Diceros bicornis minor: one gene and its partners. The protein of the gene in region 3 purifies or fractionates together with the protein of the main gene of each other region. This does not show direct contact. Links are inferred from orthologs where the notes say so. Each region holds a gene or a part of one and is shown on either strand. Other genes may lie near its edges.

Evidence for each region.
Region 1: the proteins of CSNK2A2 (region 3) and CDC5L purify together in Homo sapiens (affinity purification with mass spectrometry; 3 studies listed by BioGRID and IntAct, counting the BioPlex papers as one, with this or other methods). This does not show direct contact. The link is inferred for Diceros bicornis minor from reciprocal best matches to the Homo sapiens genes CSNK2A2 and CDC5L.
Region 2: the proteins of CSNK2A2 (region 3) and ARK2N purify together in Homo sapiens (affinity purification with mass spectrometry; 6 studies listed by BioGRID and IntAct, counting the BioPlex papers as one, with this or other methods). This does not show direct contact. The link is inferred for Diceros bicornis minor from reciprocal best matches to the Homo sapiens genes CSNK2A2 and ARK2N.
Region 4: the proteins of CSNK2A2 (region 3) and SIN3A purify together in Homo sapiens (affinity purification with mass spectrometry; 3 studies listed by BioGRID and IntAct, with this or other methods). This does not show direct contact. The link is inferred for Diceros bicornis minor from reciprocal best matches to the Homo sapiens genes CSNK2A2 and SIN3A.

Annotation. Positions count from the first base shown.
Region 1 is NC_080753.1:21,502,995-21,510,405, forward strand, and holds the start of CDC5L (cell division cycle 5-like protein), read right to left. Parts: upstream 3,015-7,411; 5' UTR 2,904-3,014; coding exon 2,859-2,903; intron 232-2,858; coding exon 128-231; intron 1-127.
Region 2 is NC_080755.1:39,164,397-39,172,099, forward strand, and holds the start of ARK2N (protein ARK2N), read left to right. Parts: upstream 1-4,697; 5' UTR 4,698-5,149; intron 5,150-5,474; exon of another isoform or gene 5,475-5,761; intron 5,762-7,703. UniProt on the Homo sapiens protein: AMPK substrate important for exercise capacity and skeletal muscle function.
Region 3 is NC_080771.1:11,518,472-11,526,069, reverse strand, and holds the start of CSNK2A2 (casein kinase II subunit alpha'), read left to right. Parts: upstream 1-4,590; 5' UTR 4,591-4,872; coding exon 4,873-4,976; intron 4,977-5,788; coding exon 5,789-5,900; intron 5,901-7,598.
Region 4 is NC_080744.1:68,207,240-68,215,035, reverse strand, and holds the start of SIN3A (paired amphipathic helix protein Sin3a), read left to right. Parts: upstream 1-4,783; 5' UTR 4,784-5,019; intron 5,020-7,796. UniProt on the Homo sapiens protein: Acts as a transcriptional repressor. Corepressor for REST. Interacts with MXI1 to repress MYC responsive genes and antagonize MYC oncogenic activities. Also interacts with MXD1-MAX heterodimers to repress transcription by tethering SIN3A to DNA.

The DNA of each region.
Region 1 (7,411 bases), on a different chromosome or scaffold from region 3:
CATCTCCCACTCCATACTTTCTGTTATATCACAATGCCTGCTTTCTTTGGTAAGGTTCAAAGAACTGACATTTTGTTCATCATAATGAAGGTCATTTACTGTTTTCCACTCATTAACTGGTACATACCATCTGGCTTTGCACTGCTTTGCTGATTTTCTATGCAGCAATGAGGCAATCCTAGACCACTGGTTTTTCCCATATTTCATTACCGCTGCTTTCAGAATTTCATCCTAAAAAATTGTCAAAGAAAAACAGTATATTCAATCACAAAACTCCAAGCAAGAAAAGACAAAATTTAAATTAACTCTAACAGGGTTGCTAGGGAGAAAGAGAGAGAAACACACACACACTCACACACACACCCCGCCTAGGTTTAAACAGAAAGTACAAAAACCTCATTCTAGCAAGCCAGAATCAGCCAAATGCAAGAAATTAGGGGGAAATCCCTTAGGATATCCTACCCTCCCTTACACACAACACTCCCCCAATAAATTGGGAGTGGGTACAGCCCAATCTGAGAGACCCTATTTGATAGAGATTAACAAAAAGTATTCTCCAATGTGTAGCTGTCATTCTCTTCAAAAGAGTACAGCTCATTCACTTATTCATTCATTCAGAAAACATTTCCTGAACACCTACCTTGTACCGGGTCTTGGGTACTTGGGGAAAAAGAATCGAATAGGCCACATCCAGCCCTCAAGAAGCAAGTCAAGACCCTGGTGAATCCACTCTCCAATCCAGGCTTCCTGTCTCCAGTTTACAAATGGCATTTTCTCTCCAGTCCCATAACTCTTACTCTGACCCAAAAATCCACATCTCAGATCTAACCTAAGAATTAAGTCAGTTCTTACCTCATGGGTCAGTTATGCCTCCAGCCTCCCCCAGTCTCTAGATACTATTTCACCAGGGCACCCACTCCAATATAGAATTCACCATTTCCAGGGAAGCCCAGCAAGCTAAGCCACAGACACCAGGGATAACAGTGCCAGAGATGAATCCACTTGCGGCATTTTACTTTTAGGCGTTTTTCCACATTGAACTCGAGCTACATGGCTCATACATACATGGGCCACTCCACCTCCACCCCCATCATCAGAGATTTAAAAAGACTACAGGGCTTTGGCCACTGCATAGGAATCCTGCTGTTATTTGTTTTTGTACATCTGTCTCTCTCCCAGAAGGCATCTCTTCTCCAATTTAAACAGCCTGTTTCCTGCTCTGCAAGCTCTGAGGCAAGGCTGTCACAGAGTTTATTTGTAACTCTGTTGCAGTACTGCTATACTCAAACACATCTTCAACTAGGTATACATACCAGTTATCTATCCTACTAGATTCATTCCACAAACATCTGCCAAGCAACCTACTTCATATTAGTTACTGATCTAGGTTCTAGGGATAACAATTACAATGCTGTCTGCTGGGGGAAAGAAATAGCAACTAGCACTTACTGAAAGACTACTACACAGCAGACTCTGTTCTAAATGTTCCAAATGTACTGACTCACTTAATCCTCAAGAGAGTAAGTAGTATTATCATCCCTATTAGAAAAATGAGAAAACTGAGGCTGTGAGAGGTTATCAGAAACTTACCAGCAGGCCGGCCCCGTGGCTTAGCGTTTAAGCGCGTGCGCTCCGCTACTGGCGGCCCGGGGTTCAGATCCCAGGCGCGCACCAAGGCACTGCTTCTCGGGCCATGCTGAGGCCGCGTCCCACATACAGCAACTACAAGGATGTGCAACTATGACATACAACTATCTACTGGGGCTTTGGGGGGAAAAAAAGGAGGAGGATTGGCAATAGATGTTAGCTCAGAGCCGGTCTTCCTCAGCAAAAAGAGGAGGATTAGCATGGATGTTAGCTCAGGGCTGATCTTCCTCACAAAAAAAATAAATAAATAAATAAAGTCTAAAAAAAAAAAAAAGAAACCTACCAGCATCACACAGAAGAATGTGATTCTTGCAAAAGGACAAAGCAAAATACAACTAGATGAAAGAGGTGCCATGGACCCCTGAGGGTGCAGTTAATTTTTACAGGGTGAATGGGCAAAAATTCGAAGAAGAGTTTCTGAATTGGGTTTTGAAGGATGGTCAGAAAGACGCCAAGGGGGAAGAGGCAGGAAAAGATATGATGTGCTCCAGAAACCGACAAATACCGCGCACTGTAAACACAAACGGCATTAAAATCTTATTTCTATTTTACTCCCTCTCTTCTGCCCTTTGGCTCACCACTAGCATTATCCGCTACATTTCTGGAAGCAAAGAGACTACTGTAGGCAGTCTGTCCTATCTGGCTTCTATCCAGGCTGAGGCGGAAAGACAAGAAGCGACAGGATCTGTCGGGAGGAGAGACAAGCTATGCCTTGATAACAGATAACCGGAGATGCGGGCAGAAATGGGCTCTTTGAACCTGGCACTCCAGCTGCTTCCCCTCTACAAGCAAGTCAATGAAGCAACAAACTTGTGGCCACAGCACTTGTTTATTTTTTAGTGTCAGAGAGAGACATGGTGCCCGGGCTGAGGGACGGGGGTGTCCCAGAAAACCAACTCTCGCGGATGTCCTATCTCCCCCTCCACACTGAGTTCCTCCAGGGCGGGGGGCGCGTCCTCACTTAACAAATGTTCACGACGGGCCTAACAAGTGCTTGGCAGGTAGTCAGGGGTTAAACCACGGTCCGCCCCCAGACGTGCTCAGATAACAACGGGCCTGGCACCACATAACGGCCCCGAGGATACTCCCCGCTCTGCCCCAGCGGCCGACCCCACTGGGCACATCCTCCACGCCTCCCCGAGCTCCGCGCGCCTGCGCACAAGCTGCCAGAGGGGGCGGAGGGCAGCGGACGGCGGGAAAAGGTAACTTACCTCGGTATTCCTCCACACGCCTCCCTTGATCATAATTCGAGGCATCTTGGTGGCGGGGTGTCTCGGCAAGCGGCCGAGAGGACCTTCAGAAAACTAGTAATGGCGCTGCGGACGCGGAACCCACAGCCACCACTTCCTCCAAGCGCGACCTTCTGCTTTGAAGAGATCTGCGCAGGCGCAAGGGGGTGGAGGGAAGCAGAGTAGCAAGTCTCGCGAGAACTCGGGTGGCTGAAAGGCAGTAAGTACCTTGTTAAAGCCTTAGTCTAGGAAGATTGACTGAAAACCATGAAACTACCCTGACTAAAGTGTCCTACGCCGCGCGTATATCCAAAACAGTTTGGAGGAAACCACGGCTCTCGCGAGATATCGGCGGTGGCTCTTGGCAGGGAATATAGTGGTGGGGTTGGTCGTGACGTCACCTAGTGGCAGAGAGTGGATACATCACGCGTGTGGAGTATCGGGCCAATTGGTCAAGAGTTTTGTTAATTTATTAACTTAGCACTATATTAGGCATTTAACTAATAGGAATTTATTCATAGAATACTCAGGAAAAGGCAATAGCTTAAGCCTAAACTTCCTATCCTGTAAAATAGATAATAATACAGTAGTACCATCCTCATAGGTTGTCCTAAGGATTAAATGCGATCACAAACCTAGCACAGTATCTGATACATAACAACTGCTCAAAAAAGTGGCAGCCGTTATTACAAGAAGGGCAACGCCGGGCCAGCCCGGTGGTGCAGCGGTTGAGTTCTGGAGTTCCGCTTCAGCAGTCCAGGGTTCGCTAGTTCAGATCCCGGGCGCGGACATACTCACCACTCACCAAGGCGTGCTGAGGCAGTGTCCCACATAGAAGAGCTACAACTCTACGACTATGATACACAACTATGTACTGGGGCTTTGGGGAGAAAAAAGAAAAAAGAGGAAGACTGGCAACAAATGTTAGCAAAGGGCCACTCTTCCTCAAAAAAAAAAAAAAAGAAGGGCAACCCCAGGTGATCAGCGGTTGTCCCAGAAACCTGCAGAAATGTCATGTCAGAATGTTTCATTCATCACTATTCAGTCTTTGTGGATTAATAATAAAGAGTTACCGCGCTGGTATTGGGCAAACTCGGGTTGAGTTGAAATCTTGGCTCTCTCATCATCTTGGGTAATAATCTTGCTGAATGTCAGCATCCTCATCTGAAAAATGGAGTTAACAATACCCACCTCACAAATTTGAAGGGCAAATAACTTAAGGCATACCTAAAACCCAATGAAGTAGGGATTGTGAAGCACCTCCCAATTACTCCGTCTCCTTCACTGTTTAAACACATCTCTTTGGCCCCAGCCCTGGAAGGTATGCAAGTATTTAGTTAATGGACTGGGAAACACCCTGAGTATTTATATAATGTCTTTCTCTTTATAGTTCTTCATTTCTCCATTTGCCTCTTCTGGAAGAGCTACAGAATTTTCTGATTAGATTTTAGTAAAAATTTTTACCTTGAAATGCAAAATTGTATCAATAAAATCACCACTTTGTTGAAAGGAGGCAGTATTGGATTATGAAGAACACACAGACTTAGCCATATAAGATCTCGGTCCACTCCCATCTCTGCTGTCAACTGACTATGCGACTGGTGACAAGCCATTTTCTGTCTCTGGACCTCTGTTTGCAATGCTCCTCTGTAGGATGTGTGACCATTACCGGTCCCACTCCCAACATCCACTCAGTTGCTGTGGTTACAGTCTCTCTCTCTCTCTCCCTCCCTCTTTCCCTCCCTCCCTCCCTCTCTCTCTCTCTCCCTCCCTCTTTCCCTCCCTCCCTCCCTCTCTCTCTCTCTCTCTCTCTCTCTCTCTCTCTCTTTCACACACACACACACACACACACACACACACACACACAGGCTATTTGATTGATCTGATCAAAGCTGAGTCAATTAAGTCTCCTCCCCAGGATTTTGACACTGGAACCTAGAAGAGGCCAATCTCTCTGCTGGCCAATGAATCGCTACCATGTGACTCCCAGGAGTTGTCTGCCACCAGGTTTCGTACAACGTAAACTAAGAAGGAAGGAAAGTAGGTCCCAGATGCATTAAGAAGAGCAGAGAAGAGAGAACAGAGAGACAGAGGTAGGTCCTGACTGTGCCAGAGTCCCTGGATCCAGTATGTTCCTTAGTTGTAGGTGCATCCCTGTTCTTATGATTAGTTCTCCTTTGGCTTTAGCCAGTTGGAGTTGGGTTTCTATTATTTGTAAGCAAGATTCTTAGCAAATCCAGAGTTGGACCACTCCTCTCTCAAGAGCCATTTCAGACCTAACATTCCAAGAGCCCATTGTGATGGCTTCTCCTTCCCATTCAGGACCACCTTTACCCCATATGTCACCTTTGTACCAACTAGAAAAAGGTGCCCCTTCCTCAGGGGACTTTATTGACAACTGCTGGAAAATTGTCACAAAATACCGATGTTTTGAGAACAGGCCACTCTTACTACAAGAAAATTTGATCTACCATGTCTACAATGTGAATTGCACCCCCTAGGGGCATGCGTTTTACAACTTGCCCGTTGGGACAGAGCAGCTCCGTCAAATGTTCCCCAATGCGCCCTTGAACTCGCAGACTCAATATCCCATTTCAAGCTTCAGAAAATGCAACATCATGCCAGTTCTGGGACGTCTAAAACCGGAGCCCCATAGCCACAAACACCAAAGGCTCTCCTCCAGCATGGCCTGGATTGGCTAGCCTACCCCACCATATTACCTCAGCCTCACTAGCCAGGCCTCAGGGCCCCCAGAAAGAGGCAATCTCCACCCCAGTGGCTGCCAAGGATCTCTGGCCAGAGCAGCCATAAGGAGCAGCCACCATCAGGCAACCAGACTGTACAGTCACTGTAAACCTTTAGGAAAGTGAGTGGTCATTGCTAAACAGAGGCTTAATGAGAGAGAGGCTCCACTTCTTCCCCACCCACCCAAATATGTTCCTCAGAACACTGGTCACATGGGACACTCCATTAAAAATAAGTTTTTCATGATTACTTGAATTTGAAAAAATCAGCATGCTCTGTCCACTCTCGTTTACAGAATCGCCAAAATTGAAGCCTAACAAATTGTAAGATGAAGAAATCTATTTCTCCCTGTTGTGGGTTAAACTGTGTCCCCTAAACAGATATGTTCAAGTCCTAATCCCTGGTACCTGTAAATATGACTTTATTTGGAAACAGAGTCCTTGCAGATGTAATCAAGTTAAGATGAGGTCATACTGAAGTAGGGTGGGCTCTAAATCCAGTGACTGGTGTTCTTATAAGAAGAGGATAAGAGATGTGGACACACAGGGAGAATACTTTACTAAGAAGGAGGCAGAGATTGGAGTGATGCATCTACAAGCCAAGGAATGCCAAGGATTGTTGGCAACACCAGAGGCTAAGAGAGAGAGGCGTGGAATATATTCTCTCTTTGAGCCCCCAGGAAGGAACCAACCTTGCTGACACCTTGATTTCAGACTTCTAGCCCCTAGAACCGTAAGAGAATAAATTTCTCTTGTTTTAAGCCACCCAGTCTGTGGTACTTTGTTACGGCAGCCCTAGAAAACTCATACACTCCCTTTTTAATATAGCATTTCCAAACGAATTTGACCCTGGAAACCTTTTTTCTTATAATATCTATAGATATGCAGGAAACACAATTTGGGAAACTCTGGCCCAGGAAAAAGAGGCTGGAGGTCCATCCAGCTTAAAAGGGGGGAACAAGAGATGTCAGGAGAATGCATTGTCCGTTTCCCCATCCCTCATCTCTTTTGAAAATAATCAAAATTCTAGTTTCCCTGTTGACCAGCTTTTTACCATCAAGAAACTGTACAGAAAAGAGTTAAAATTAGGGTCAAAAGCCTGTGACAACACCTAGGCACGGCTAGGGGCAGGGGTTAGCCGCCTCCATAATCTTCATCATCTCCCCAAATAAACAGATGGAATTTAAGTAGAAACACCGTGCTGCTTTGCAAATACAGTTTCAAGACAAGTCCTCTAGCCCCGCCCCATGTACCAGATTGCCACCTCTAAGCTCCTCCATCCCATTTAGAAATTCCTCAGCTAGTGCTGGGAAAAGCTAATGTCTGGGTGTCAAGTTACTACAAAATGGAATTCCACGCACTGTAAATGCTGGTAATTCATACTGTAATTCTAACCATGGTTAATCATCTAAATGGGCTCTGGTGTCACCCACTGACACTTCCTTGTGGTGGATCCAATTGTAGTTTTTTCTCAGGTACTCATCTTCATGGGTGTTATTTCTGGGGAGTCCCCTGTGCCCTGAGGTGAAGAAGCGTTCCCAAAGAGAATTTGCTTTTTGTCTCGCCCCAGAGGTCCAAGAGTCTTTTTGAGCTCATTTCTCAGTTTGGGATCAATATTCCAATCCGGCAATTTACATCTAGACCCTGCATCCACAAGGCACAGGCTTGGGTTTTACATTCTACAGGAGACTTTTTTTCACACTCATATACCAGACCCCAGACTCACATGCCCAACTACATCCTGGACAGTTCAACGTGTGTGTGTCACAGATTCCTCAAATGCAACTTCCC
Region 2 (7,703 bases), on a different chromosome or scaffold from region 3:
TATGGACGGACGTGAAAAGAGTCTGGGATTTGGAGGCAGCAGAGCAAGGTTTGGTCCTGACTCTCCTGTTTAGTGCTGGTAACCTTGGGCAAGTCATTCATTCATTCATTCAATAAGCATTTATTCAGAATCTCCTTGTGTCAGTCACATAATCTTTGCAAAATGGTAACAATACCCATCCTCACTACCTTTCAGGACTGTTTAGAGGAGCTAATGAAATCATACTTATGAAGTGTTCAAGGTGAACGCTATACAAACGTACAATATTGGTGTTAATTTGCAAAAAGATAAAACAAACTTGGAGGGGCGGGGGGTGAAGGCCCAAACCACAGCTCTCAGTGTGTCGCTTGTACGAGACACACTCCTCTTTCGGGCTGTCCTGCTGTGCCCTGCACACTCCTGAGTCAAGCCAGACTTTGCCCAGGACTCCTTTCTCTTCATCTCTGTCCTTGGAAGCCCCTCTCTTGCTCCAAGGCCCTCATCAAAAGCTTCTGCTTCCGTGAAGTCCTTCTTGCTCTTGGGAATTAATTTCTCCATCCCACGTGTCCCTCCTCTGTTTCAGCCATTGCTGTGTTCCACCTGTGAACTATTGCGATGTGTTTCTAGATGAAGTCCTGCTCTTAGTCAGACAGTAGTGTTCTTGAGGGAGATGGCCATGTTCTCTTCCAGGAATCCTGGCTCTGCCCCTTTAGCTCATGTGACCTCTGTCAGGGGCACTGTCTTCTCTGAGCCTCAGTTTCCTTCTCTGTAAAACCTACCTATCCTTGCTGACGGTTGTGAAGATGAAATACTGCACGTCAAGGGTCCAGCACAGTGCGCCTTGTGTTTAATGGGCAGCCTTCCTATAGACGGCTTCTGAATAAAACTGAACAGCATGCATGCTTTGTTGGGCTCCTAATATGCACATAGAGGAGGTGGCCACTTAATATGCGCAAATGAGGAATGTCGGGATGATCCCCACCCAGTAATATTTTCCCCACCCAGGATTTGGTACCTGAAGTGTCACCAGTTAATATTAATTCCTCCTCAAAGGCACTCCTTGATGTTTCAATACCACGGGGAGAGGCGAAGCATTCAACCACTCACCCTTCTGGAGTCTTGGGTGATGGTGGCCACGGTCATGGGTGTGGGGGGGAGGTGAGGATTCTGAAGAGAGACTTGGCAGAACTGGTGTTGCCTCATGTCACATGTTTATTTAAAACCAAATATAACACATTTATTTAAAATCAAAGTTTCAGGATCTTGTGTGTTTTTTTCCTGACACCCATTCTCCAACAACTGGGTGTCCAACAATTCAGTTCAATTCTGACATTAACTACCCAGAGTTAGCGCAGACCCCACAGGTTTAGGGCTCAGTCCCAGAAGTCTGTCCACTTCAGATGCCAGCCACAAGTGGGGTCCCCAGGCTACCCACACTTATGCTCTACAGACTATAAATTCGGGGTTCCCATGACTCCCCCTTAAGTTCCATGATTCGCTAGAATGACTCAGAACTCAGGGAAGCACTTCACTCACTATTGCTGGTTTATCATAAAGGATGCAACTCAGGAACAGCCAAAGGGAAAAGAAATGTGGAGGGGAGGAGGGGGGCATTGGTGCAGGGCTTCCACACCCTTTCCGAGTGCGCCACCCTCCCTGCATCTCAATGTGTTCATTAACCTGGAAGCTCTCTGAACCCCATCATTTGGGGGTTTTTATGGAGATTTTATTATGTGGGCATGATTAATTAAATCATTGGCCATTAGTGATTGAAGTCCATCTCCAGCCCTTCTCTCCTTCCCGGAGGTGGGGGGTGGGGCTGAAAGTTCCAACTCTCTTATCACGAGGTTGCTTTCTCTGGCCACCAGCCCCCATCCTGAAGCTACCTAGGGGCCCAGCGAGAGTCATCTCGTTAGCATAAACTCAGGTGTGGTTGAAAGGGGCTCTTTATGAATAACAAAAGACACTCCCACCACTCAGGAAATTTCTAGCGTTTTAGGAGCTCTGTGCCAGGGACTGAGGACCAAGACCAAATGTATATTTTCAATTACATCACAGACCCCCTGATGTTCTTACTTAAATACCATAGTTTTCGGAGCTGAAGAGAGGAAGGTGGAGGACTGGAGACGTTCTCTTTAAAGATGGTCTTTCAACTTCTTTGAAGTCCTTACGAGTCCTTTCTTCCAAATCAGAGTGTGTCTTGACCTTGTGGGAAGGTCCCTAGAGTGCAGGCCCTTCCCTTCTTTCCTATTGCTTGCTTTCTTCTCAGCAGTCCTCAGTTTTAGCAACCCCCCCGCCCCCAGAGCTCCACCTGCTCTCTGGCATGGTCAGCGCGGGGGCAGCCGCTCTCCTTCCTCTCCAAGTTGTCAGTGGCTGGGGAGGGTCTGCTTTCCGCTGGTCTTGACTGTACACTCGGCAGAAGTCCAGGTGAGAATGTCACACCCTGCTTCCCCCTTAGTGCTTAAAACATGAAGCCCGGACTCCTTACACTCCCACCCAGCCCCCAGCCTCCCTTCCCCGGCTTTCTCTCTCCTCACTCCTCCCCTGTTTGGCCACAAGCAGCCTGGCCCTTGGGTTTTCATCCTTCAAACATCCCAAGGCTTTTCCATCTCTCACCCCTTTTCCCCCCAAGGTCAGCTCCTCTGCACACTTGTTCCTTCGGTCACAAACATTTATGGAATGTGTCCCATCTGCCAGGCCCTGTGCTGGACACCAAGGAGGCTCGAAGGAAGGATGGCATGGGCTCTGCCCTTGAGGCACTGAATCTCTTCCTCCTTTTCAATAGCTGTCAGGTGAGACCCAGGTCCTCCCTGAGGCATTCCCCGAATACCGTCACCCACAGGCCTCCCGCCCTCCTCCCAGCCTCTCATCCACTTGGCACCTGGCACCACTTCCCTGTTTTGACATCCCTTCAGGTTTCTGTGTCTCCCCAGCTAGATGCTAGGAAGGACTTCCTCCATTCACACTGTGTACTGCGTGTGCCTGCTGCAGAGCAGGACAACACAGTCCGGCCCCTGTTCTACTCTCCTGTGCGTCAGATGGATGAGAAAGAAGAATATGTATGATAAGTACACAGGAGGGCAAATGTTATGCAGGGAGCAAACAATGGGGTGCTGGCTTAGATGGGGTGTCAGAAAAGTCCCTCCCTCTCCTACCCTGGAGGTCTCTCAAGGTCGGGCGCTGTGTCATACAGAGCTATTCTTTTCATTAAAAGATGAGAGACCAATACACACTGTTGAAAAATTTAAAACTGTCCTTTGTAGTTATTTCCACTTTATACTAGAAGTTACAGACGTTCCACATAGAAGGGGTGTCAGGGGGATCACCTGATTGCAAAGAGGGACTTGGAGCCCAAGACAGAGGAGCCTCAATCATCCACCTCACAGGGGCAAATGGCGGCAGTAACACTGTATGATTCAATGGTAACACTGTAGATTGGCCAAGGGGTGGACCTGTTTGTAGGACAGTGTCTGTGAGCAGAGGAGTCTTGGCAGAAATTTCTGTAGAGGCAACAGGATGGAGAGGGTGGTTAGCGTGGTGGTGATGTGGCTGGTGTCTGGGCTGGTTTTATGGAGATGGGATTCAGGAGCTCGGAGAGCTGAGAATGTGATGCACAGGAGATTCTAGGAGACAATTCCAAGGCAGAAGTAGGATCAACGGCCCAGTCCTTCCTTCTCCTCCAAAAGGGGAAAAAAGCAATTGCCCTACATAGCAATCTGACTATGCTAGTAATAGGAATATCAGTAACTAGGATATCAAATGCCCCAGCCTCCGAAAATATGTACAGTCCATTCACTGAAGGGAATAGACTTATGGGTATCAAACAGGAAAAGAAGCCAAGATGGCACCTCAGGAGTCAGGAGTTGTTTTAAAACTGAATCTATTAGTCCACATTCATTCATTCACTTCAAGACTGACAGCTGTGATCTTAGTAGATAGATAGTTTCTTTTCTCTTTGTCTCCTGAAAGAGTCTTCGTTCTTATCACTACCCCACAACCTCTCAAATTCCTTGAAGACTAAGGTAGCAGAGGAATGCATGAATAAACGAAAGAATGACCAGGTGAAATAACATACATAGACGAAATGTTTATCTGGCACACAGTACCATCTCAGCAAATCTCAAGGAAGCAGTTGGTGCTGTTGGTGGAGACAGCAGGCTCAGTCTGTGTTGGAGTCCAGTCCTGCCACTTACTGAAGCGTGACCTTGGGCAGGGTCCTTTACCACTCTGTGCCTCAGTTTCCACCTTTGTCACCTGGGGCTAGTAATACTACCAAACTCATAGGTTTGTTGTAAGGATTAACTGAATGAATCCATTTAAATGCACAGTACAGTGCATGGCACATTGTAGGCATTAAAGAAAAGCTAGCTATTATTATAAAATTATTTTATCAATTTACACATTTAGTCAGGGAAGGAAAGCTCCCATGCTTGTATGGAGTTACCATAAATAAGTGAACTGGAGGAGCTGAAGGGCCTGATCTAAAGGGGAGACCGAGGTTAGGGAAGCGTGGGGCCAGCCCTGTGATTTTCAGAATCTGCTCTTTGGGAGCATCACCCCAGGTCCCAGCATGGCTCCTGAAAACGTAAAGGCCTTTTACATTTTCTCCTCAAGCCCTTATTTATTCATTTATTTCTCAAAACCCTGCTTTTACGGAGCGAGGGCCCTTGGCCAGATCTTGAGTTGTGAGGTTTCTTCTCAGCACCTCTTCTTTCTCAGCCCTGCACCCGCCAGGTGGCCTGCGCCCACCTCACCTTTCTTTGGGGTCCCGTGTCCAGCACGTTTCCCCTATCTCAGACCTCAAGGAAGGGCTTCGAAAATTCATAGAGAACGCCAGGGCGTCACCCTTCCCAGGGTGAACTGCAAATGAGAGGAGTGACTCTGCAGAGGTGGAATTTGGGGCGTCTGCAACGCGCGTAGGGGCGGAGCGGGGCCTCCCCGGCGGACCCTGTCTCGCCAGCAGGTGGCGGTCTATCTGCGAGGCCTGCAAGGTTCCCGTCCAGAAACTTGAACGGGATGTTGATGCCACTGCATAAGATCACAGTCGAATCTTCCCGAGCCGAGCTGTCGGCATCCGCGAAAAAGTGGGGAGAGAAGGGCGCTGACTTGCGGCTGGAGTGACTCAAGGATTGAGACACCACTAGCTTCATTCGGGAAGGCTTCAGGAGGGGTGAGTACTGAGCGGTGCACGGAAAACGGAGCGCTGTCCTTTTCTTAGAGCACTGTCCTTGGCTTGCATTGACTGGCCTTCCGACCCTCTGGGAAAGACATTTCTGAAAAGGAGCTGCCTGATAAGATGGAGGGAGCCCGGGAAGAAGCCCGGGGAGCCGGTGCCCGCGCGCCTGGCGCTCTGCAGCGGGAGGAGCGCGGGTTCCCTCCCGCCAGATGGCGCTGTCTGGCTTTCCCGTGGCCTCCCTCTCCAGTCCCCAGAGGCCTCCGCCGCAGCGGCCGCTCTAGCCAAGCGGCGCGGGCTCTGTGGTTCCGGGCGGAAGTGAGGCGCCGAGCGGAACGGCCTCTGGTGACATTTTCTCCGGGCGGCGCGGACGAGTGAAGGGAGTTGGTGGTGGAGGTTGCGGAGGCGGCGAGATTAGCTTTGCCTCTGCCGGGGCTCTGACGGCGACCCTTTGCTCGCCGCCGGGGCTTGTGCTGCGGAGGAGAAGGCGGCGGTGGCCGTCGCGTCCCGAGTCACCGCGGCCGGGAGCGTCCCGGCCGGGAGGTCGGTGCGTGCCCCGACGGGGCGTGCGGAGCGGGCGAGGAGGTGCGGAGCCGCCGCGGATCGCAGGTGAGGCGGGAAGGGGCGCAGGGCCGCGGCCCGGCTGCCGGTCGAGCCGTGGGAGCGGGCGGCGTCCCGGGGAGGGGTTGGAGCGCTGCGGGCCGCGGGGAGGGCTCTGCGGCGTCCGGGCGCGGGGGTTGTGCCGGGCCCAGCTGGGGGGCGCCAGGCGTTCGTGCCCGGACGTGGCGGGAGGCTCGGCCCCGGGGAGTGTACCGAGGGGGGCGGCACAGCCCTGACCCTTTGCTGCCCGCCCGCTGGTGACCCTGGCGTCCTCCTGGCCGAGTTGGCTGGCCGAGCTCCCCCTTCCCTGGGCCGCTGGGGCCCGGGCGAGGCGAGAGGAGGCTGGGGGGGCCGCAGCCCGCGGGCCGCGCGGGGCAGCGGCTTTGCAGCCCCGGAGTTGTCTTCACGCAACTTTCCGGCGCCTCGGGCTGCCGGGGAAGCGGTGGGGGCAGTTCTGCTAATTCAGCCAGCCCCGCGAGCCGGGGTCTGACGCCGGCACCTGCCCCTGCTCCTGCGAGCTTTGGGGCCGCCCCAGCGCCGCAGCCCCCGGGGCCTAGGAGGAGGGAGAGGAGGCTTTCTTAGGCTGGGCGCCGCCTGCCTCTCGGCGCTTCCACAGCCTTCGGTCGGCAAACGCCTCTGGTCCATGGGAGGGATGTGTCAGTCTCCAAAATTGACCTCTTCTGGCGAGTTTGTCAACTTTATTTAGAAAACCGGGGAGGATGTAAACTGACGAGCCCCAAGTTAAAGATCATCGTCTTCTCTGACTCTTCCCAGAGAGAGTTCTCTTGTCTTCCCCAGTAGCGCTTTGTATTCGGTACTTTATTTCTTATAGCACCGACCTCAGTATATTGTTGGGGCAGCAGCCCTCCAGAGAACCGCACGTCATACATTCTCCCTTTAAATCGTCCTTTCTGCTGTCACAGGATAGATACTCCCAGGTTGAAGGAATGAACGTCTGTACTTGTTCTCCCAGATTGAAAGGCTTGAGCACTTTATGTTTGGATGAGCTTTTGCTTTCTGAATCCTTCCACCTAGTAGGATGAAAAATCCCACTGATGATGCTTTGTCAAGGTTGAACCCCTTAATTACAAATACATCTGGCAGTTTTGCTTAGGCTGGTACTGTGTAGTGTCGTTGGACACATGCTAACAGTTTGAATCATTCCCTTTCTTCTGGGATATTTTAAGAATGGAGGCTGTTAACTTTCTAATGTAGTTTTGCTGATCGTGGCAATCTGGCTTCCTCCAGGGAGGGCATTGCCTTTTGGTTTAACAAGCATTTTTAGAGGCCTGCAATTGATGGTTATTATCTGATGTCCTGAGGAGTCACAGTGCTTAGTAGGAAGTGTAATATTTTGGTTGAGTAATCTGGCCAACACAATGCCTAGTTGAGTGCTTTATGCACAGTAGGTGCTCAGTAAATATAAAATAATGAATTAAATTTGAATTCAGGAAACTAAGATGGAATTTACTGCAATGACTTTTATGCTGCATTAAAAAGAACCTTAGTGAAATTTCATGCAGTTCTATTAAGTGAGAAATAAAAATATTTTTAGATCTTTCTAAATCAGGTTCCTTCAGAGTGCTTCTCAGTACCTCTGTAGTCTTAAAACTTCAAACCATGTCTTTTTTATAACGTATTGTAGATGTAAACTTCAAAATAGGCGTGTACAGTATGAAAGACAGGGAAAAACTTCAAGGGTAATTATACTTAACGCATCAGCTAAATATGATTTCTTAATGGAAATTTTTTTTTCCTGACATCTTTTTGTGAAAAATGGAATGGACTGGATTTTGGAGCCGGAAACTTTCCCCATTGTTAGCTTCATAGTGTGGTTGTTACATTACTCACTAGTTCAGTTTATATTACTCTTAAATGCATTTATGAAACAGTGTCATAATCATTCTCTTTGTTTTATAGTCTTCATGATTAATCCAAGACTCGTATATGA
Region 3 (7,598 bases):
GAAATGGATTTCGTGGTGAGAAAGACCTGAGTTCAAATCCAGATTCCGCCTCAATTATCCATCACTGAAGTCTTAGATAACTAAACTGCGGAAATGGGATCCTTTCAACAGCTCCAATATCACATGATTTTTTTTATATCTTTTCTTTTTCTCCCAAAAGCCCCAGTACACAGGTGTATATTCTAGTTGTAGATCCTTCTAGTTCTTCTATGTGAGCAGCCAGAGCATGGCTACTGACAGACAAGTGGTGTGGTTCCACACCTGGGAACCGAAACCAGGCTGCCGAAGTGGAGCATGTCGAACTTGAACCATTAGGCAACCAGGGCTGGCTCAATCATAGGATTTTTTTTAAACAGTTTTCTTGAGATATAATTCACATAGCATACAATTTACCCATTTAAAGTGTAAATTCAGTGGTTTTGAGCCTCAGGGTTTTTGCAGGATTTGATGATATTGAACACACAAATTGTCATTACTATTAATAATTCTTTGATGGTGACTTACACTATTTTCTTAGGCTAGGTTCTTAGAACCAGAAATATGGGATAAAAACCTATAAACCTCTCAAAGGTTTTGGAAATAAGCCCTGTGAAGATAGAAGGTGTTCCTCTGGAGGTTTTAAATTTTTGTTTTTTGGGTTTTGTGTGTGTGTATATGTTTGGATAGAATTTGGTATGAAATTGTTGGGCTATTTGACTCAAGAAGCCCTCATGCCTTCTCCCTTGTGTAACCCTGAATTACACTCACCCCAAACCCACACACACAGTAATTAGGGGAAGTCGATTCTGGTTTACTGAACCTCCCTGCCCTGTCACCCACCCTTGCAGAGCCACCAGCCTGTCCCTCTCCATATCCAATGAGACTCACTCCTTCAGCGAGTGTTGCATTGGTACCATCTCCAACTGCCCATCTAATTAATTACACCAAGCATGCTGCCTGACAGGCTGGCAGGAAAGAGAGGCAGTGGGTCTCCGCCAACTCCATGGGGTACCCAACCTACCTACTAACAAATTGTAAAAACATACTCCATTTGGCTGTGGGAAGACTGACTGCAGGTTTTAGGGCAGAGTTAGCGAAGTGTCAGCCAAACCCAGGAGCACGTTGCACCAGAGTGATGTGTGGGTGAATCCTGAGGCATCCTGGCAGGTGTGGGAGCAGGTTACGTGAGATGGGTGTGGGTTAGGTGGTGAGGGATGAGAGGAAGGTGCAGGAAGGGTGGGTGGGGTCAGAGGTGCACCAGGGTGGAGGTGAGGAACGGGGCCCCAGTCAGGGTTGGTCCTAGTAGTTAGACCAGTGCTTTGGAACCATTTTTGGGTCATGGCGTCCTTTGAGCATCTGATGGATGCTGAGGAAAGAATGCGTGCGTGCGCTCACACACACACACACACACACACACACAGACACACACACCACAAATTTTGCACACAACGTCAGGGTTTCCTGAAACCCAGGAAGTTCATCCAAGGCCCAGGATTAAGAACTTCTGGGCTAGAGCCAGCCCTGATGGCCTAGTGGTTGAAGTTCAGCACTCTTACAGCTTCGGCGGCCCAGGTTCGCTTCCCAGTTGCAGAACACACCACCCATCTGTCAGTTGCCATGCTGTGGCAGCGGCTCACATAGAAGAACTAGAAGGACTTAGAACTGGGATGTACAACTATGCACTGGGGCTTTGGGGAGGGAAAAAAAGAGGAAGATTGGCAACAGATGTTAGCTCAGGGCGAATCTTTCCCTGCAAAAAAAAAGAAAAGACCTTCTGGTCTAGACTAGTTTACAGAGACTTGTCAGAAAGAAATCCTAAGGCTGCATTAAGAGCTTGAGAATGTTTGTGTCTTCTCTAGTAAAAGAGATTTAGGGAGGTCTGTGGGTTTGGGAATTAAATTGTAAAGTCCAGTTATTCCACAAATGCTTTATTTAGTTTCTTCCAGTTTTTATTTTTAAAATGTTCAAATCTACCAAAAAGTTGCAAGCTCATGTAGTCTCCAATTGTCAACATTTCTCCCTAATTACTCCGCTCTCCTCATGGATGCTCGTGCTCTCAGGAACCCATGTTTTCCTGGAGACTTTCCTTACCATTTGAGAGTAAGATGCAGATATTATGATACTTCATCCCTAAACACTTGGCATGTAACTCCTAAAATCAAGAGATTCTCCTTCATAACCACAACATAATCCCCACACTCACCAAACTTAACATTGAAACAATACTATTATGGAACATACATCCTATATTCAAATTTCCCCAGTAGTCCCAATAGTGTCCTTTTAGCTTTATTCTTTCTCCTTCCCTGCCTCCTTCCATCCCTCCTTTCCTTCCTACTTTTTCATCCAGGATCAAATCCAGAATTAGATACTTCATTTAGTTCTCTCTCTCAGGCTCCTTTAATCAAGAACACTACTCCAGAGTTTTGTTTTGTTTTTGCTTGTGACATTGACATTTTGGAAAAGTTCAGGCTGTTTTGTAGAATGTTCCCTAGTTTGGATTTGTCTGTGTTTTCCATGATTAGATTCAAGTTAAGCATTTTTGGCAAATGTTGCATCCCTTCTTGGTGCCTCACATCAGAGGGTCTGTTGGCCCCTTATTGATGATGTTAAGTTTGATTCATGGTTAAAGTGGTGACCTCCAGGCTCCCCTTTGAAATTAATAGGTGATCTGTGGGGTAACATTGTATTTGTTTAAAGCCTCCAACTGAGGCAAATGCTGGGTGAGCCAATGGTAAACACCCAACTCTGTCCTCTCTCTCAGGCTGTTTTTACAGTGCCAGAGGCAGACAATAACCTAGGAAACAAACAAATAATTACAAAATAGGCAGGTTTCTGAAGGATGGAGATAGGGTGCTGAGATAAGAGAAGTATCAACTCTAACACTTAAAGTGAGCTTAAAGGTGAGACTTGAAGAGGAAAAAGGAGTCAGCCGTGGGAAAGTGGGGGTGGAGGGAGTGGAGGTGGCCTTGGTCAACCTTGGAGGGTGGAAGGAACTGAAAGATGGGCATGTGGTGGTCTAAGGGAGGGCAAAGCGATAGGAGAAAGGCCCTGGGTCTGGTAATAATAATGTTGAACACTTAGTATCTGCTAAACACTGTTCTAAGTATTTCACATGGTTTACTTTGTCTAATTCTCTCCATAGCCCTGTGAAGTAGGTGCCATTACTACTTGTGTGTGTGTGTATGAGGAAAACTGGCTCTGAGCTAACATTCATTGCCAATCCTCCTCTTTTTGCTGAGGAAAATTAGCCCTGAGCTAACATCTGTGCTCATCTTCCTTTATTTTGTATGTGGGATGCCGCCACAGCGTGGCTTGATGAGCGGCATGCATAAGTCCACGCCTGGGATCCGAACCTGTGAACCCCAGGCCACCGAAGTGTGAGAACTTAACCACTACACCACTCAGCCAGCCCTGCCATTACTATCTTCATGCTGTAAAATCTGCAGCACCGAGACATTCAGTTATTAGCCCAAGGTCACACAGCTTGTAAGTAGCAGAGCTGGGATTCAAATCTGGATGGATCTGACTCCACAGTCTGTGCTCTTAACTACATTAAGAAGGAGGAAGCAAGGTCTCACCTAGAAAATAGAAAGTGAAAAAGGATTGGAATCAGAGCAACCTGGACTGAGTGAAGAAGTTCCGCTGATAAAGGATGTGGGATGGGAAAGCAAGACAAAAGAACGGCCCAGAAGATCAAAGAGAGAAGAGAGTTCTGGCCTAGAAGGCAACATAAAATAGGCTAAAGTTTGGTTGGCTGCTCCACCTTCAGTCCATGCCCAACCCCCAGCCTGTCCCTTCAGGCGGGACTCTCATGATTCTCCTGCTCTCCATCCTCCCAAACGAAACCAGGGTATTCACACAGTCTCAAAGTATCTCCCCACAGATTGATTATTAATTACAAAGGGAAAAATAGGAACTTTACAGTGAGAAACCTGGCTGGCTGGGGGTGGGTTGGAGGGTTTGTGAGGAAGGCTCTAGATGAAAAGAGTGGGGAAGTCTTGGGGTTGAGGAGTCTATGGGTGACAGGACAGGGTCCATTGGGGGAAGGGGAGGGGTCTCTGGGAGGGATGGACAAATCTTGAGGTGGGGAGACTCTGAATGATAAAAGCCAGTCATTGGGGAGGCACTTGATGGGAATAGTTTGGGTGACAGGAGGGTCAGAATAGGGTCTATGGGAGGTCGGGTGGGTAAATTCTGGATGACTAGAGGGTAGAGAGCTTGGGGTAGGAGTGTCCAGGGAAGTCCTGAAAGGGTACACGGAGGGTAAAGCTTCAGGGCAGCAGCCTGTGGGTTGGGGAGGCCCTTTGGCGAGCGCGTGCGACCAGACCGAAGATGGGCAGATTTGGAGGGGGCTGCGGACGGCGGGGGGCCGGGGGCGGGGCCGGCGCGCCCGGCAGGTCCCCCCGCACTGCAGGGGGCGCTGTGAGCTGGGCGGCCCCGGGCCGGGCGGCGGCCGCTCCTAGTGAGCGCGGCCCCTTTTCCGGATTTCCTCCTCCTTCTCCTCCTCCTCCTCCTCCTCCTCCTCCTTCGCCGCCGCCGCGGCCGCCGCTGCCCCTTTCCCGGCCGGCGGCTGCCGCTGCTGGTGCCACCGCCGCCGCCGCCGCTTCGGGGCCGCGAGCCGAGCGGAGGCCGCCGAGGAGCGCGAGCGCCGCCCGCCCCGCCGCCCCGCCGGCCGCTCCAGGGCCGGGCCGGCTCGGCCGGCGCCCCCCGCGCCCCCAGCCCGCCCGCCCCCGCGGGCCCGGCCTGGCGCGGCCGCCCGCCGCCGCGCTCCTCCTCCTCCTCCGGCGCCCCGCGGCCCGCCGCCTCCTCCGCCCGCCGCCCCGCGCCCCCGGCCGGGCCGCCGCCGCCGCCGCCCTCTGCGCCCCGCGGCGCCCCCCGGTCCCGCCCGCCATGCCCGGCCCGGCCGCGGGCAGCAGGGCCCGGGTCTACGCCGAGGTGAACAGCCTGAGGAGCCGCGAGTACTGGGACTACGAGGCTCACGTCCCGAGCTGGGGGTAACGCCGCCGCCGCCGCCCCCCGCCCGGCCCCTCGCCCCCCACCCTCGCCGGCCGCCCCCCAGCGCGAACCGCACTCGCCCCCCGGCCCTGTCTCCCCGCCCGCTCCTCCGCTGGGCCCGTGCTTCCTCGGCTCTGGGCTGGGAGGCAGAGCCCCCCCCACACATGTGCTCATCTTCCTCTCCCCCCTTTCTCGTCCGTTTCTCCCCGCCTTGCGCCCCCGTCCCTCCCCCGTGTCCCCAGGAATGCTTTCTTAGCGGCGAGAAGTGTAGGGTCCGGGGACCAGAGCCTGGTGGAAGTGAGAGAGCTCTTCCTCCTCACACTTTTGGGTTTCTATTGGGGTGGGAAGTCAGCAGCTGTCTTCTTGAGCTATTACAATTCTCGGCCTTTTTAGTCTTTTGAAATGAGGCTGGGTGGGAGGAAATTTTTCAAAGCTGTCCAGATTCTCGAAGCTGGCCCTGGCTGCCTTGAGGGTGTGAAGGATAAGACAGGTGCTGTGGCGCCCCGGGCAGAGGGGCACCCTCTGCGCCTCAAGGATGGATGCTTTGCTCATCCCTATAGATTGGCTCGGAGTGGTGCCTTCCTACCTCCTCTCCCCAAGTTAGGAGGGACCAGTTAGGTTAGGAGCTCTGAGCAGAGTGAAGGCAGCCAAGTGTGTGTTGTGGCTTTCATTTAGGGAATGAGTTGTGGTGTGATAGGTAGACACTTCCAAGTGCTTGATTAATGGAAGCGGCTGGATAGGGGTGTATAGTGGGCATAGGCCTAGTTAATCCGAAGTCCTGGCATTTATGTGTCGTTCTTGCCTTTCACAGTAATCAAGATGATTACCAACTGGTTCGAAAACTTGGTCGGGGAAAGTATAGTGAAGTATTTGAGGCCATTAACATCACCAACAATGAGAGAGTGGTTGTAAAAATTCTCAAGGTGAGTGTCTTATGAGTGGCATTAAATTTTTTTCCACAGGTCAGAAGGATATAAACGACCCCAGCCACATTCTAGAGTGAGCAATACGTGCTCTTATTTTGCGTATCTTCTGTCTCATGTCCTTCTGCTATTGCTTCTCCCACCCCATTTTCCTGTGAACTTTCAAGAAAATATGCAGACCTGTTTCGAATCTAAGTTTGATAGTTCAGGACCATCCTTGTTTTGAAATGTAGTTACGGACTCCCAAAGTGAAAATTCCAGAGGGGCTCCATTTGTTCCAAAATAAATAGGTATTCAGAAGAAAGAAAAGCCTTTTCATGAAGATTGCATCAGTCCAAGGGCTCCTTGAGCACTGAGTTTGTTACCCTTGGTGCTCTCAGTTGTTCCAGAAAGCAAGTCGGAAAAAATTGGAGCGGGTTCAAAGATGAGTTTGAAGCCTGAGTGGAGAGAAACACCTTGGTGGATAATCACTTGTTTCTTCTCCTCTGGTGATAAAAGTTTCAGGTGAGGTGGATGTAGTGAGCCAGTAGTGCCAGGAAGGTTCATTGTTGCTTATCAGCTAGTAGAAGTGAAATTGGAAGCAGTAGAAGAGTACACTTGAATCACTAAAATAGTAATTGGAACAAAGCAGTCTTAGTGTCTGGTTTAGTAGCTTAAGTTTGATAAGCTACAGCTTTTGTCATCTCTTGGGTGAAGACCCGATCTTAATGAGCGTGAGGAGTTGGCTGAATTCTCCTTCAGGTGACTGATTGTGTAGCTTTAATAACGTTTTATAGGGTGTACTAAAAAGTGATTCTTAGCATCTGTGAAGGGTTTTCATCATTACCAGATCATTTAACGTGTGTGCGTGTCATTTAGTGAAATACCGAGACAACCAAAAAGTAATTAATATAAGCACTTTTATATCTACAAGATTTCCAGTGTGGCCATTTTGCAGAGGCTCTGAATAAGAATGTGGGATTGAAAAGCTGTTTTTGTGTCTTAAGGATAGGGTTAGGGCAGCTGTGCAGCTGTTTAATATGAGGGGTCAGACTTACATTGTCTGAAAATCACCTTTTGGAAAAGTGATCAACTCTGTTAGTACCATCCTAGCCTAGTGTTGAAGAAGCAGAATTGAATTAGAAATAGGCAGTTATTTGTGCTGTTAGAAACACTGAGAGTGAGAAGTGAGGAATTGATACTGAAGATGTGGAGTTTGACTCCCCTCTTCCCTAAATATGAATTGCACTTACAAAGTCACATGGTCTTTTGTTTTTCTCTTTATAAGCATAAATATTTAAAGAAATGCTTCCTTCAGAGAAGTCACCTGGGGAAGCTATACAGTTTTTTCCTTTATACATAAGCATAAATGTTTTTAATATAAGCTGCTTAAAATCTTTCTAGGCAGTAAGCAAGGCATAAATTGAAATTAGGAATATCCTTATTCCACTGCTGTGCATTCAGAAGAATGAACTGCTGACTCTAAAGCAATTCAGAAAAATGTCTAAACTTTTGTGCCATGGCAGCATTTTTAGAATAAGTCTGCAACTTCCTGTGGTGTCTTTTTTGAAAGGAACAGCATTCAGGTGTACATATAAGTAACAGTATGTTCATTTAGGAAAGCTTTGTGTTGCTCTTTACTTATCCTTCTAGAGAACTTCATAGGGTCAGTTGCTGGATAGTGTTTCCTCTGCTCTAAAGATGTGCAGGATATGTTTA
Region 4 (7,796 bases), on a different chromosome or scaffold from region 3:
CCTGGGAGCCACTAACATTTAGGGGAGGATTGAAGAAGAAAAAGGCTGTGAAAGATTGTGATTAATAGGCAGAGGTAACAGGACAAGGCCAGGCTGTATTCTCACAGACTGATGAGACTTGGGGAGTGGCTGGGATGAATGAACAAGATTTGGAAATGTAGGTTCACTGGTGGTCTTCTCGGGGCAGGGGCTGACAGGGAGGAGGCATGAATGGTAGGTGAAGGAATAGAGATGGCAGTGCTTGGGCTGTCTCCACTTCAACCAAAGTGAGGCCCACCTTTATCTCTTACATATTAGCCCTCTGAATAAGATTTCATTTGAACAAAGGAACCTGCTGCTTTAAAAAGAAATCACCAAACAAGTGATATACAAAAGGAAGCACTTTGAAAACATAGAGCCAGGTAAATTGGAGAACATATTGTTATATCTGTTTTCTAGATTTGGACTGGAAGTGACCCAGAGGGGTAAATTAATGCTCAGTGAGGGGAAGACATTTCAAGGCAGTGAGTAGCAGTCTTAAAACCCACTAAAAAATTCCAAGCCTCCAAAGCCGCCCAGAAATCAGAAATACAGAATATGTACAACCTAAGCCAGCTGGTTGTCAGAGAAATAGTTTCTTCACACAGTGGGATCATTGGGTCCTTTAGGCCTGTCCTGGGCTCTTAGACTGCAGCACCGGAAACTTCACATCTGAATGGCCAGGAGACAAGGGTATAGCAACAAGATAAAGGAGAAAAAGTTCTGAGAAGTCTTGACTAAATGCTAGGCATAGTTTATTTTTACCACACTCATGTAGGTATTCTTTTTTTTTTTTTTTTTTTGCTGAGGAAGACTGACCCTGGGCTAACATCTGTGCCCATCTTCCTCCACTTTATATGGGATGCCGCCACAGCATGGCTTGACGAGCGATGTATCAGTGCGCGCCCCGGATCCAAACCCCGGGCCACCAGCAGTGGAGCACGCGCAGTTAACCGCTATGCCACGGGGCTTGCCCCATCACGTAGGTATTCTTATTCTTAGTTTACGGATAAGGAAATTGGAAAGATAAGTGACTTGCCAAAGACGTCCAGCTAGGAAGCAACTAAACTGGGATTCTGAACAATAGCTTGAGTTTTCCCCTTGAAGCCGTAGGGTACTTTGGGTTGGGGGTGGGAGCAAGTCTCAGATGCCCCTCATCTGGATATTCCCAAGCTGACAATGGTCTTCTATAGCTGGCAGAGGTTCTGTCAGCAGGGCACTAGCACTGACGCTGACATCTTTTTGGCAGAGTCACTGAAAGGCAGGCCCTAAATGTCAATCACAACCCATAAGCACCCTCAAGAACTATGAATGAGTCCTTTTTGTGAATGAGGGGGTATATGTGTGTGTGATGCCTGTGAGAGAGCGTGTCAGAAGGTGTGAGAGTTTTGAGTACTGTATATGTGTTGTGAGTTGAGGAGGCATGTATATATGTGGTTGGGAGACAAATCTTGCGTCTTTGAGGATAATTTTTTTTGGAAAGGGCCAGAAATCATTTAGAACTATTTGGGGACAAACTGCTCTTGGAGTTAGGGAAGTAGGGAGGGTGGAGCAGGAGGGGAGGCTGTTTTTATCCAGAAGCCCCAACCTGGACCATGGTACCCTAGTGTGTATAGAGATAGATAGCACATGGGGGCATAGACAAAGCTCAGGCTTTGGGCCCAGAATTGCCATGGCTGCTTGACTTGGGCAAGTCATTGTACTGCTCTGAGCCTCAGTTTGCTCAACTACAAACAGGATAATAATCCCTAACTCACACAAAAGAGGCCTCCTGGGAATCAGAACTTGGCTTCCCAATGTGACTTTTCCAAGGAAGCTCTCACCCAGATCCGTTCACTGTTCCGTCCTCACTGATAGACAGTAGGGAAGAGGTCGGGTGGATGCAACCTTCAGTGCAGCTGGAGGGCCAATGCTGCCAAATCAAATACTCACTTTCCCAAAGAGTCTGGGACTGGCTGTGCTATGCAGGCATCAATGTACTGAGTCAGAAACAATCACTGGACCCCTTCCAAGGGGCCTCTTATGCCTGACTGCTGTGGGCACTGGGGGCTCAGAGGTGAAATTAGATAGAGTGGCTATGCTCTAGGAGCTCAGTCTAGGGGGTGTTCAGGAGGGGATTTCCACCAGCGTGGTGCACTCAGGAGGGTAGGAAGTGTCAAAAAAGTCTGGGTCTCTGAGTGGGAGTAACTATTCTAGTTGCAAATGCTCCTTAAAGGAACTTCATCCACAGTATACCGCTGTCCAGGCTTACACTCAAATGCTTGGGCCTTTGGCCTCCACAGAAGCTCAGAACCTAACTAGGTATATTAAAGCACATTTTATCACATTTGATCTTCATAACAGGGCAAAGATTGCTATGTTATCCTCTTGTACAAGACAGGAGGCTGATCCACAGAAAAGAGATTAGGTGGGACTCAGCTTACAGACTAATATTCTTTCTGGTCTACCACTCTGCCTCATCTCACGTTCACAGCATGTGTTATGCCTTCATCTAGGGCAGAACCTCTTGGGAAATAGAGCAGGAATCTGAGATGGGGCTCCAGACATCGAGGGATCTCTGATCTGATGTAGAAAAACTTGGTCCTCACTCTAGGGAGCCCCCAGTCTGAGAATGAACCTCAACCTCTATGGCCCTGTCAGGTGTTGGGCCTCCCACTGAATACACAGTCCTCATCTCCTGGCCTTTCCCCCTCTACACCCTTCCCCTCAGTGATTCCATCAACCAAGCTACTGCCCAAATTCTAGTCCCCACTCCACCTGGGATGATCTGCTGCCCTTGCAAATCAGTATTTCTTCCAGTCTGCCCTCTCCTTAGAGGCAAGCTTCCCTCCTCATCAGACCCCTCACCCCCAGGGACTCTTGAGTGAGAGAAGGAAGGGTCCTTAGAGCCTGTCTTTGTACTCCAATTTCCAGCCGGGGGTGAGGTGGGGGGGAACAGCCCCAGAGGGAGGAAGGGACTTGCCTAAGGATATACCAGTCACTGGCCATGCTATGTCTAGAACCCAGATCACCCAACCACCAGCCTCACACTCTTCTGCCTCTTCACATACCAGGCCACTGACTCCTTTCCCTCCATTACTCACACTGAATCAGTCACCCAGTCCCCTTGAGTCTTTCTTAAACACCTCTCCTTTTTTATTCTTGCTTACCCATTGCCACTGCCCTGGTCAAGTCCTCATGACATCTCACCTGAATTGTTGGGACTGATTAACTGGCACAGGCCCCCATTCTGCCCACAGGACTCTTAAGACCCTTCACATTCTGCATATCCCACCTGATCCACACTAACTTCCTTTCCCGGATGCCTCAATCAACAGGTCTTGCTTGCTCACTCATTGTGTGCCCTGGCCCCAGGCTCAGCTCTGTTGAGCGCAGACATGTGGAGTAGCCTTTGCCTCCCAGAAACTCTTTTTGGTTGAAAGTTATGACAAACACTGCAAATGATTCTGGGAACAATCTGAGGCAGATCTTTGACTTGAGGGCTGCTGAAGGTAGGGAAGGCTTTCTGGGTTGGGTGGCTGGGAAAGAGAAAAGAAGCCTTCTCTCGGGTCCCCCCCACCTACCCCTCCTACCAGAAGGTGTACCTCTGAGGTTTCCAAACCAAGTATTACAACAACCTTTGTGCCTCACCTTGCTTCCTGTAGTGACTCCTCACTCAACCTACTCTCAGAGCCCATCCAGCTGCTGGGATATTGAGTATCTTAAACCATAGTTCTGGGCTTGTGGTCCTGTGACCATGCTGCTTGCACGTTGTGTTGTGCAAGTCTAAGAATTTTAACCAGTTATTAAAGTCTTCTGCCGTTTTGTTCCATCCTTCCAACCCTGATTTTCATTACTACAGCCACACTTGAAGGTCCTTAACAATGTTTTGCATTTACCCCTTTGTGCCCTTTGCTGAAAATGACTTGCCCCTCCATTTCTGCCTGATGAAATCTTGAAGACCCAACTTGAGTGCTGCCTCTTCCATGAAGACTCCCAGTTTTCCTCAGCTAGAAAGAATCTCCCTTCTCTGAGCTTCTATGGATGTGTATTTATATATACATTCCTGCCTTGCCTTAGCTCTTTCTGTAGCATACCCTCAGCTAGGTGTGGAGCCCTTGGAGGGTACAGAGCATTTCATCCAGTCTCTGTAATCGTACCCAGCAGCAGGTGCGGTATGAATGTGTCTGCCTCACCCACATTAGATGCTCAGACAAGTGCCTGTTGCCCTGAACGCAGGACTTCCCGCTTACGCTGCTCATTTTTAGGCAGGCGCCTTAACAGAATGGGCCAGAAACGGTTCGGTTACACAGCCAGGGGAATCGGGACATTCCAGCCGGTCGCTAGGGTGTCCGTACCCGCCTCCCTCTGCCCGGCTCCAAATGGGGTGTGTATGTGAAGGAAGTGGTGGCCGAGTAGCCCCGCTAGCTCCTCCTCTGGGTACACCCTGCGGATCTCCCAAGGGTCTCAAGAAACTCGAGGCGGCGGTGCCGGAGAGACAGAAGCCTCTGCCATGGATGGGCCTCCCACTCGCGGCTAGTTTTATTTATTTATTTATATATTTTTGGAGGTAGGGGGCGTTCAATGAAGGGGAAGAGGTGGAGCGAGGGGAGGAGGCGGGCCCAGGGTGACTGACGCGAGCGCCGGGGAGCCAATGGCCCATGGGGGGCGTTCCCCCCCATTCAGGACTCCTCGCCTGCCTCGGAAGGTATGTTAAACAGCTGCTTTTCATTTGGTCTCCCCAATCTCGGGCGTTTGGGGGGCTAGTTCGCCGGCCGGTCGTTTTGGCCAGTCCGCCACGGTGCGGGCGCCGAAGGCCCCGGTTCGGAGCTAGGGGAGGCTCGGAGTCCGGCAGCCGAGGGAGGCGAGGGGCAGGCCAGGAAAGAGAGCTCTTGGCGCCGCCCGCCCGGCAGTGTGTGTTTCCAAGCCGGGCCCGATCCGTGGGGAGGGGGTCGGCCCGGCCCGGGGTCGCCAGTGCGCTGGCAGTGCTGCCTAGTTTATTTCACCGAGCAGTCAGTTTCGGTAGGTTTCGGCGGCGGACTGGGTAAGGGGCGGGCAGGAGGAGATCCTCCCCGCTCCTGGAATGCCTAAAAAAAAATTATTGTAAAGAAGAAAAAAGGAGAGATTCCGTACACCGACTGGAACTGGGCCCGGGCTGCGGCGCGCGGGCTCGGCAGGGGGCGGCGGCCTGAGCCCGCGGCGCCCGGAGTTGGTCGAGAGCTGGAGTTAGCTAGCGAGCCGAGGCCCGCGGCTTTCCCCGCTAACCACGCTGGGCGAGGGCGGCAGTCGCCGCGAGGGTTTTGTTTCTGTCCGCAAACTTGTCGGAGGGGGCGGTGGGCCCGCGGTTGTTATGGACTCTGGGGGCGGGGGCAACGCTGGACTCGCGGGAGGTGCTGCTGGGGGTGGGGGAGGACACCGGAAAGAGCCCCCCGCGCCTCGGCACTCGCCCCGCGCGCCGGTCTGGGCTCTTCAAACTCCCGAGCCGTGGCAGTAGAGCCAGCATTCGGTCCCGGAACCCACCAGGCCGCGAACCCGCGCGGAACTCGGCCCGGGGATGTGGAAAAACCTCCAGGAACTCGGCGGCTTCGACCCGCGGCCCCAGCTGATCCCCTTGCAAACATGGAGCTCCCTCCTTCCCCGCCCACCCTAAGGCGGCGGCGGCGGCGGGTCCCCGCCGCACCCCCCGGTCGTGCCGCTCGCCCGCGGATGGGGCGGGGACGGGGGCGCGGGCGTGTGTGCGCGCCCACGAGGGGTTGCCTGAAAGGGGCAGTGAAGGTCGGAAACTGGGAAAACAGTCTTCACGCTCAGAATCGGGAAAAGGAAATGCATCAGCGGGCGGGGAGGGGCGCGGGGGGGCGCGCCTGTCAGCCGGGATGGCGGCCGCGGGCTGGGAGGCGGGGCGCCGGCGTGAACCGCCGGGGTTGGGCGGGGCGCGCCGGGAGAGGAGGCGCAGGGGCCCCGGCCCACAGAGCGCCGGGTTGCCCCAGCTTCCATTCCTTGGCCTAGCCTATTTACTATCGACTCCGGCGGCGGCTTGTGCAACCAGCCCCGAGCGGGGCCGAGGGGCGGGGCCTTGTCTTGTCTCTTCCACCCACCTCGGGCTCCTCCAGAGAGCCCGCCTTCTCTTGTCTTCCACTGGCTGGACGAGACTCCCTTTTTTCCTTCTCGCTTATCGATTGGGTGACATTCTCCCGAGCTCCGCCTATCGGAGACCGGGCTGGAGTTTAAGTTGCTAGGATTTTTTTCAGTGAAGGGCGGAGGAGGATTCTTGCGGCCTACGTGTGGCGCAAGGTCCCGCCCCCACTTCTGGTTGGTGAGATGGATAGTCCCGCCTGCTCCGGCGGAGCGAGCTTGGAGAGGGAAGTCCAGCCCTGTTCCCCGCCCCCTCCCCTCGCTTGTGTGCGCGCTCCGCACATGTGTGAGGCCCGCCTTGCTCCTTCGAACTGTCCTCCCGCCCGGAAGTCCCCGGTTCGGAGCCCTTGGCGGGGGGAGGGGGGAAGGGAGAACCGAGAAGGCACACAATGATTCCTCCAAGCTCGCGACCTGGTAGTCTTTGTGATGAAGTGTAAGGGTGACGGTGTGGAGTGGATTTGGGGGGCTTAGCTCCGGGGGTTCTGCAGAGGTTGGGAGGAGGAGGTGCGATCTGTCCTTCCGGGCCAAGTACTAAAGTTCGGACTATTCCTGCGCCTCTCGACTTCCAGGAGACCACCCTGAGCTTAAGCTTGAGAACGCTGCCGACGCTGACAGTGTGTTTTCTTCCCAGCGCAAGGCAGCCGCAGTCCTTACTTGGCTTTATCTAAAACTCTGAGCAACCTAGGATTGGCCTGGATGCCTTAGGCAAGATCCGGGGTAGCTCATCCCCTGTTGACCGAGAAGTCGGGGCGGCCCAATCCTACTTGAGTTCGAAGTGGTTCTTGATGTCCAGGTAGGAGCACCGTGTGGCACCCAGTCCAGGGAGCGGGGGACAGCCCAAGTTAAAGGTAGCCCTAGGTCATTTCTGCGTAAGTGCCGCTTCTTCGTAACTTCCTACAGGTTTGGCCGAGGGGTCGCTTCGGTCTGTGTGACTTATTTTTAGAGCTCCGTTCTGGGGCAGGGCTTGGCTCCCGGCGAGACTGCTCCCATCTGTCAGCTACTCATGGAGTTCACAGTTCGCTGCCTTTTCCTTGCGGCTGGAAGCCATCCTTGGAGTCAGGCCCACCTGTTGCCAGCGCTCGATTCTTGCCGTCTCCGCTGGGTTGTGGAAGGAGGACAAGACAGGAGCTAGGAGTCGGTTGCGGGGGGCCTGCCACTTGGGGACTGACTCTAGCCTCTCTTGGGGGAGTAGCCTTTTTGCTAGAGAGAGCGGGAAAACTCTGGCCCCGCCCCCTCCTCTCCTGGCGCTCTGTGAGCGCCCCCCAAAGCAAGGCCAGAGTCAGTTCTTTGCCCTATTTGGTGAATAAATAAAAGCAACCTAGGTGTTGCAAGCACTTTGTCTCTTGTGTTCGAGGCACTATTACCTACACAGAGAGGGCCTAGGTACTGCCATTAACACTCGTTGGCCAAGGAGGAAGTGACCAGCCGTTCTTATTATCTTTTGTCTGTAACTCTGGACCTTTTATCCTTTCTCTGAAGTGTGGGGTGAAGGTTCCTTTATGCTGTGGCCTGTTTGGTCTCCTTCCTCAATTTTTCGAGTCTGAGGATGCCTCCAAATCTACCCTGGAGATCGGGAGTGCCTTAAGCCTCACGCTCCGCCTTCAGGAGGTTTGCCAAGGCGGTGGCTGTTAGGCTCTGCCTTCATTTTGGTTATCTCCGCCTTCTTA